2 linked regions of the Cricetulus griseus genome follow. Each later gene encodes a partner of the first gene's protein in a complex. Links are inferred from orthologs where the notes say so. Each region holds a gene or a part of one and is shown in the gene's direction. Other genes may lie near its edges.

Region 1 (3,533 bases):
GTTACTCAGGAAACCTAGGTGGCTCCTACGTTTCTGTTTTCCACATTGGTGCTGCTAGGGTGGGATTGAGGGTTGAGTAAACCAAACCCTTATTTTAAAATAGCATAGCAAGCCAGGTGGTGGCAGCACGCCTTTAATCTCGGCACTCGGGAGGCAGAGACAGGCAGATCTCTGTGAGTTCAAGACCAGCCTATCTACAGAGCAAGTGCCAGGATAGACTCCAAAGCTACACAGAGAAACCCTGACTCGAAAACAAACAAAAAGACAAGCATCATCGCTGGGCGTTGGTGGCGCACGCCTTTAACCCCAGCTCTCAGGAGACATAGGCAAAAACCAAAGAAAAAACCAAGGGGAAAAAAAAAAAGACCAGCATCATCAAGAGAAGCCAAGAAGAGAGGGAAGAGGAACTCTGCTGGTCCACACTAACATGGGTGTCTATCCCTTCCCAGGACCCTGAGAAGGGGCCTGCCCCCACTTTCCAGCCGTTCCAGAGGAGCGTATCTGCTGATGAGGACCTGCAGGAGGTAAATGGCCGGGGTTGAAGACAAAAGACCCACAGATTTTGGATCCCGTTCGAGCACCTGGGAATCATATTAATTGTTCTTTATCTTCTTTTTCCCCCCCTCAGTCATCCAGACGTCCCCAAAGGAAATCTCTATATGAAAGGTTAGAGAGAAGCCACAGTTTGCTGTGGGGTCAGTGGCCAGAGTCATTGGAAGGTTCAGGGCTGGAGTGGAAGGAGCAGGCTGCAGGCGGAGTGTGTCTGTAAGAAGATGGAGCCCCCTTGTCCTTACTGTCTGCCTCTCCCCAGCTTTGTGTCTTCTAGCGATCGGTTGCGGGAACTGGGACCAGATGGAGAAGAATCAGAGGGCCCCGGGGCTGGTGATGGCCCACCCCGAGGTTTTGACTGGAGCTACGAAGAACATGGTGGTGCCCGCTCCTCAGCGTCCCCTCCCCGAAGCCGCAGCCGCGACCGAAGTCATGAGAGGAGCCGAGATAGGGACCGGGACAAAGACCGAGACAAAGACCGGGATAGAGACAGAGACCGTGACAGAGATAAAGACAGAGACCGGGACAGAGACAAAGACAGAGACCGGGACAAAGATAAAGACCGGGATCGAGACAGAGACCGCGAACGGGACCGAGAGCGCGAGGGCCCTTTCCGCAGTGCGTGCTTTTGGCCAGGGTTAGGTGGGCCCTGCTAAAGAGGGGGGTGACTGGGACTCAGTAGTGAATGACTGTAATTCCTGACCCACAGGGTCAGACTCATTCCCCGAAAGGAGGGCCCCTCGGAAGGGGAACACACTTTATGTGTATGGAGAGGACATGACGCCCACCCTCCTCCGAGGGGCCTTCTCTCCCTTTGGAAACATCATTGACCTCTCCATGGACCCACCCAGAAAGTAAGGACGAGCCTCCTGGGGAGGGAGCTGTGTGGGGACACTAGGGCCATGGACCACTACTGATCCCGCTTTTTCTCACCTCAGCTGTGCCTTCGTCACCTATGAAAAGATGGAGTCTGCAGATCAGGCCGTTGCTGAGGTTGGGACTTCTCAGACCCCTCCCTCCTGTCCCTCCTGTCCACCTCTTCTCCCGACTGAGAAAAACTCTGTCCTCAGAGCCCTGTCTGGTCCCCTGGCTCCCTGTAATGCCCACCTCTGTCCTCCCATTGTATCCCACAGCTCAATGGGACCCAGGTGGAATCCGTGCAGCTCAAAGTCAACATAGCCCGCAAACAGCCCATGCTGGATGCTGCTACTGGCAAATCTGTCTGGGGTTCCCTTGGTAAGGATGGGATTCTTCCCTCATCTCCTCTCTACAGCACACTACTCCCTAGAGTGCTAAGGGTGAAGGTTTGCGCTAGGCAGCTGATAGAGAATTGCCAGGCTGTCTGTCGAAGGGGAGGGAAGGGGAGGGGAGGGGAGTGACTGGCATGGGGAGTAGAGCAAGAACCATGTTGCCCCCTCTGAGCTGGGGTGGTGTCAGAACTTGAAATTGTGAGTCTGGAACCATCAAGAAATGGGAATTGTAGAGAAAAGGGTGACCCAGGACTGGTTTGGGGGATCAAGTACGTTAAGAAGCTGGCTGGGCTCTGTCTCCAGCAATCCTGGCCTGCCAGGAGGAAGTGGCAGCTTCATTGAAGGAGCCATGAGGCATCCCCCGAGAGCAGCCCCAGAAGCCCTGGGCCATGGACCCAGGCTCTGAGGAGGAGGGGCAGTCAGCAGAGGCAGAGTACAGGACCAGAGTTGGGGGGGGGGGTGCTGCCTCTGGCACCACAGGTGTAGGATGGAACCTTTGGCTGAGGAGTGTAAGGAAAGAGCAGCTGAGCACTTGGGATCTGAGGGTTCCACAGAAGACGTGTGTGGGGTTCCTCAGTGTGGACAGCCCACTCTGCCTGAAACAGATTTTCAGAGCAAGAGGCCCTGCAGACACCAGGAAGGAACCAGAATCGACCAGGATACCGGCAAGGGCCACAGAGATGTTCTCATCTTTAATTTCATGTATTTCATGATTTCATCATTCACATGTCTCACGCACAGTAACAAGGTTCTGCGTTCTCTAAGCCATAGTGAGACTCTGGCCACCAGGGGGCAGCATAAGCACTGGTAGGCCAAGGCCAGGGCGGAGATAATCAGACTCAGACCTCAGGTCTAACCTGTGAGCTGCTTGACATCTTAATTGTCCCTTTCCTCCCTCCTCAGCTGTCCAGAACAGCCCTAAGGGCTGCCACCGGGACAAAAGGACCCAGATTGTGTACAGTGACGATCTGTAGGAAACCTGTGGATGGCTTTTAGGACACGAAGCTGGATTCCTTGTGCCTCGTATGCCCCCAAGCTGGTCTCAGTAAAATCCTGGGGCAGAAGTTCCCTCACCCCCTTCAGCCTCTAGTCTTTCAACACTTGGGATCGGGGTTAAACCTTCAAAAGTGGCTGTCAGTGTTGATGTTACTTGTAGCAACATGACCAGTGCACACCCCCTGACCCCTTACCCCCAAAAGATGAAGAATACAGTCCTTATCGCAGCTGTTTTAATTTGACCCTCGCCCCTCCCAGCCGGAAGCCCCTCATAGGAAACCCAAATCCTCATCTTTGAGTTTCTCCTTGAGCCAGGGGAGCACCTGGAAAAGGTTGACATGGAAGTCCCGGGCATGAGCAGGTACCATCTGTTGCCGCCTCTGCCCTTTACAGACATCCACTACGCCCCAGCTGATGACACCGACCTGTGCAGGTGAAGGGTGCCATGGGTCACTTGACACTTCATAATCCCATAAAGCAGCCAAGCTGACCCAAAACAGTACACCAGGGGCCCAGCTCGCACTGTCTTCCTTGGTGCACATAGGCCAGATGCTTGGCTTATAGTCAGCCACGTGCATCAAGCGTTCCTTTTTGTGGTATATGTGGCCCCTGGGCGTCTCCCCCACAGACTCACTTGAATAAAGCGGCTCCTCTTGTGAACAATGAGAGGACCCCCAGAATCTCCTGTGGAAGAGAGAAGCTGTAGGGAAAGACGGCTGGGCCCTGTGGGCTTCACCA
Region 2 (4,029 bases), on another chromosome or scaffold:
AGTTGAATTAGGAGTCTCAAAATGACAAGGCAATTTATGTGCACAGGTTTCCTAATCACAGTTCAGTTAACTGACCATAGTGAGTACTCCAGACAGAGCCTCAAGGAAACCAAGTATCCTGTGCTGCTATAACAGAGGCCTCAGTGCTCAGTGGAGATTGAAAAGCCAGTCCCTGAGCAGGGAGTGCTCAAGAACACAGATCCTGGAGTCACACGCCTGGGCTCACCTCATTGTACAAGGCTTTGGGTTCAAAAAGTGGCCTCCACTTTCTCACACGAATGGGGTTTTAAGTCACAAACCACACAATGCAACAGCAAATAGCAACACAGACGCTTAACGTGTAAACTATTATTAGCAAGATCCTACAGACTTAGCAGCTTACATATTTAACCAGAGATCTTGGCAACCTCAGGGTTGTCATTCCATCTACCATCTTCCCTGGTATTCTCCTGCACCAGTGCAGATGGCAGTAGCGTTTATTTCGCTTCAGTCCCGCTTGCAGAAGGCAGGCTTCCTGGTCGTTTGTCCTTGGCTCTCAGTCATACTAAGTTTTGGTGTTGACTTTTATCTCTGGTGGCCTTCGGGGTCTTTACGTCCTGCCTAGTCACAGGACTACCACGCACATGTCCATTTGACCTTAGGCTTCTGTATGTTGACCGCCGCGTCAGGATTCGAGGCCGTGCATCGTGCGGGAGATGACTCATGTTTGCTAAGGTCGGTGTAGATCACTGGAGGGAGGGGTGGGGGAACGTGACCTAGGCCCGTGAGAGTGCAGTCTGTGCTTATGATTTGGTGCCCGGACCCTTCTGATGACCTGGGGATGACCCTGGTTGGTCCCGGAGGCCTCGGCGGAGTTCCTGGGTGAAGGTGTCCTTGAACCGGGTGGCGCGGCGACCCAAGGAGCCTAGGGGCTGACCCGCGAGGGCGCGCAGACGGCGGGCCGCGTCGTGGCCGCGCAGTTGCAGCTGCAGCAGCGCGAAAGCCGTGAGTTGCGCCGCCCGCCGGATAGGCCGTGACTCGGACAGCCGCTCCACCAGCTGCGGGTTGTGCAGCAGGGCTGCCAGCAGCCGCCGGAAAATCATCGTCCTCGGAGCGCCCGGGAACCCGGGGCGAGCCTTCACTCACCTTCCGACCGGCCACTCCCGACGACGGACAAGCCGGCGCCGCATGATGACGACACAGCCGCACCAGGATTGGCCCTGACCACGTCGGCTTACTGCAACAGGACGCACGCATTTCCGTTTCCGCCGCCACCGCCGCCTGGTCCTTCCAGTCGTGGCCGCGTCGTGGTTCGTGTCTGCACCATGTCCGGTGGCCTCCTGAAGGCGCTACGCAGTGACTCCTACGTGGAGCTCAGCGAGTACCGGGACCAGCACTTCCGGGTGAGGCGGGCCGGGCCACGAGAGGGGCTGGCTTTGGGCTGGAATACTGAGAAACGGTTTGCATTTGTCTTACTGTGTCTTCCACTCGTCTTATTGTGTCTTCCTTCCTGTTTTGTTGGGGTCCTAAAATGCGAATGGGGTCCCAGAGGTGTTTGGATATCATTGAAGCCACTTTACTCCTAGGGAACCTGGGATTTGCTTTTACAGTTTCTTACTGCTGCTGCGGGTACCAGCACCAATGCAGGGAGGTTCGGGTAGTGGTGGCTGTTTTGATGGGCTTGTCTTGCTTGGGAAAGTGTCTGTAATGAAGGAGTTATCCCTGCGTTGGCTGACCCAGACAGTATAGCCGTTTTTGTTTTTATAATCAGCTAGACATTCCCGTCTGGTATTACAGTCCTTAGTTTTTGTAAGACAGTCCTACAAAGTTGGCAATAGTAGGAGACTCAAAGTTGAGCCCTGTTTTTTGCTGTCTGACGGGCATCGGGCATGGACAAGCCACACGAGTCACAATAAGGTTGTCTGGATGGCAAAATCCAGTGCAGGCACTGGCTACACAGAGAAACCCTGTCTCGAAATACAAGCAAAAACACAAAGAAACTCAATCAGCTTAATTTGAAAACGTATACTGTGTGTCTGGTATGAGTTTCACTTGTACTGCTGTTTTTGTTTTGTTTTGTTTTGTTTTTAACAGTTCCCATTACTTTCAACAGTTCCACATCAGTAACTAACGATTTTGAATTTAAAGCATCCTGCAAGGTTAAAACCAGGAGAGGGATCATTTATTTCTTTTGTCAAAAGCCTGTAGCTCTGTTCGGACATTAATAATTTCTGTCGTGCATTTTTTAGTGTCAGTGCTGTACTGAGTGTGAAATTAAGTTACACTGAAGCTGTAAACTGTTTGGATTTTACTTGTGAGAAACGAACAGCAGTACAAAGTGAATCTGCTAGCCAGGTGCGATGGTGGACATCTGTATTCCTAGTTGTTCTGGAGACTGAGGCAGGAAGATCCCATGAGATCAGCTGGAACATGTAAAAGAAAATGTTGAAGTGATTATTTTCTCTAATGGATCATCGAAAGTTCTAAAACCTTGGGTTTATTTGGTTTGGGCTTGTTTGTTTGTTTGAGACAGGGTTTCTTGTGTAGCCCTGCCTGTCCTGGCACTCCCTCTGTAAACCAGGCTGGCCTTGAACGCACAGAGATCTGCCTGTCTCAGCCTCCCAGGTGCTGGTATTAAAGGTATGCAACACCACCACTACCACCCAGCTGGGGTTGTTTTTTTCAAGACAGGGTTTCTCTGTGTAGCTTTGGAGCCTATCCTGGCACTTGCTCTGGAGACCAGGCTGGCCCTGAACTCACAGAGATCCGCCTGCCTATGCCTCCCGAGTGCTGGGATTAAAGGTGTGTGCCACCATCGCCCAGGGCACCCAGCTGTTTGTTTGAATGCAAATGACTATTGTTCCATAGACTTCACCTGTTCAGTCCTGTTGTGATCTTAAGGCAATGTGGTAGTGGGGATAAGACCAGAATTTTACTTTGTTTTGTTTTTTAAACTGTAACTTGGAAAGCTAGAGAGATGTCTTAGAGGTTAGCACAAGCTGTTCTGGAGGACCTGGATTTAGTTCCCAGTCCTGGCATGATGACTCACAACCATCTGTAACTGATTCCAAAGGATCTGGTGCCCTCTTCTGGTCTCTGAAGGCACTAGCCATGCATCTGGTACACAGACATACAAACACGCAAAACACCCATACCTATAAAATAATAATAAAGCCAAGCCAAAAACTGTAACTTGGAGATGGGTGTGATGACCCATGCCTGTTACTGAAGCATTTGGGGGAGGTGGTAGCATGAGTCTCAGGAGTCTGAGGCCAGATTGGGCTATCTCAGAAAACAATTGGGCTAAGTAGACTTAGCTCAACAGGTAGAATGCTTGCCTAGCATGCATGCATGAAACTCTTGGGTAGATCTTGAGCTGTATATAAACTTGGAGTGGTGGTGAGTGCCTATAAGCCCAGTACTAGGAAAGTGGAGGCAAGAGGATCAGCAATTCAGTGTTATCCTTGGTTACAATGGTTCAATACAGCCTAAGCTACATGAAACCCTGTCTCAAAAAAACAGTAACAAAAGCATCTGGAGACAGTTGAGTGGTGGTGGCACAGGCCTGTAATCCCAGCCCAGCACTCAGGAGGCAGAGGCAGGCCTGGTCTTCAAAGAGTTACAGGACAGTCTCCAAACCTACAGAGAAACCCTGTCTTGAAACCCCCCCCAAAAAAAACAAAGTGGTAGGGGGTGTCTGGAGGACTCTAGTTCAGTCCCTAACACACCAGGTATCATCTCACAGCCAGTTTCAGGGAATCTGATGCCTCTGGTCTCCAAGGGCTGTCACACTGTGCGTGCATACGCATGCACGCATGCATGCACAATAACTTAAAAAGTAAAGAAAACTGCAGAGCTGGAGAGATGGCTCAGTGGTTAAGAGCACTGGCTTCCAAAGGTCCCAAGTTCAATTCCCAGCAACCACAGAGCAGCCCACAACCATAGTAATGAGATCTGGTGCCCTCTTCTGGCCTGCAGGCACACATGTAGGTGGAACACTGCATACATAATAAGTAAATACCTGCTAGCCTGAGCTCTGTTATAAAAAGA

The links. The genes of interacting proteins can lie anywhere in the genome.
Region 2: the proteins of Nelfe (region 1) and Ncbp2 are in contact, whole or in part, in a crystal structure (PDB 5OOB), measured with the Homo sapiens proteins. The link is inferred for Cricetulus griseus from reciprocal best matches to the Homo sapiens genes NELFE and NCBP2. Residues at the interface, in NP_002895.3 of Homo sapiens: Lys361, Arg362, Gln364, Ile365, Val366, Tyr367, Asp369, Tyr372; in NP_031388.2 of Homo sapiens: Phe49, Tyr50, Thr51, Thr52, Glu53, Gln55, Lys68, Ile69, Ile70, Met71, Leu73, Lys77, Lys78, Thr79, Ala80, Asp107, Glu121, Gln124.

Annotation. Positions count from the first base shown.
Region 1 is NW_023276806.1:231,395,931-231,399,463, forward strand, and holds the end of Nelfe (negative elongation factor E), read left to right. Parts: intron 1-449; coding exon 450-524; intron 525-628; coding exon 629-666; intron 667-811; coding exon 812-1,167; intron 1,168-1,258; coding exon 1,259-1,403; intron 1,404-1,487; coding exon 1,488-1,542; intron 1,543-1,682; coding exon 1,683-1,785; intron 1,786-2,702; coding exon 2,703-2,773; 3' UTR 2,774-3,022; downstream 3,023-3,533. Other genes in the region: Cfb (complement factor B), read right to left, coding at 3,065-3,220, 3,430-3,479. UniProt on the Homo sapiens protein: Essential component of the NELF complex, a complex that negatively regulates the elongation of transcription by RNA polymerase II.
Region 2 is NC_048597.1:57,548,761-57,552,789, reverse strand, and holds the start of Ncbp2 (nuclear cap-binding protein subunit 2), read left to right. Parts: upstream 1-1,227; 5' UTR 1,228-1,304; coding exon 1,305-1,382; intron 1,383-4,029. Other genes in the region: protein NCBP2AS2, read right to left, coding at 783-1,082. UniProt on the Homo sapiens protein: Component of the cap-binding complex (CBC), which binds co-transcriptionally to the 5' cap of pre-mRNAs and is involved in various processes such as pre-mRNA splicing, translation regulation, nonsense-mediated mRNA decay, RNA-mediated gene silencing (RNAi) by microRNAs (miRNAs) and mRNA export.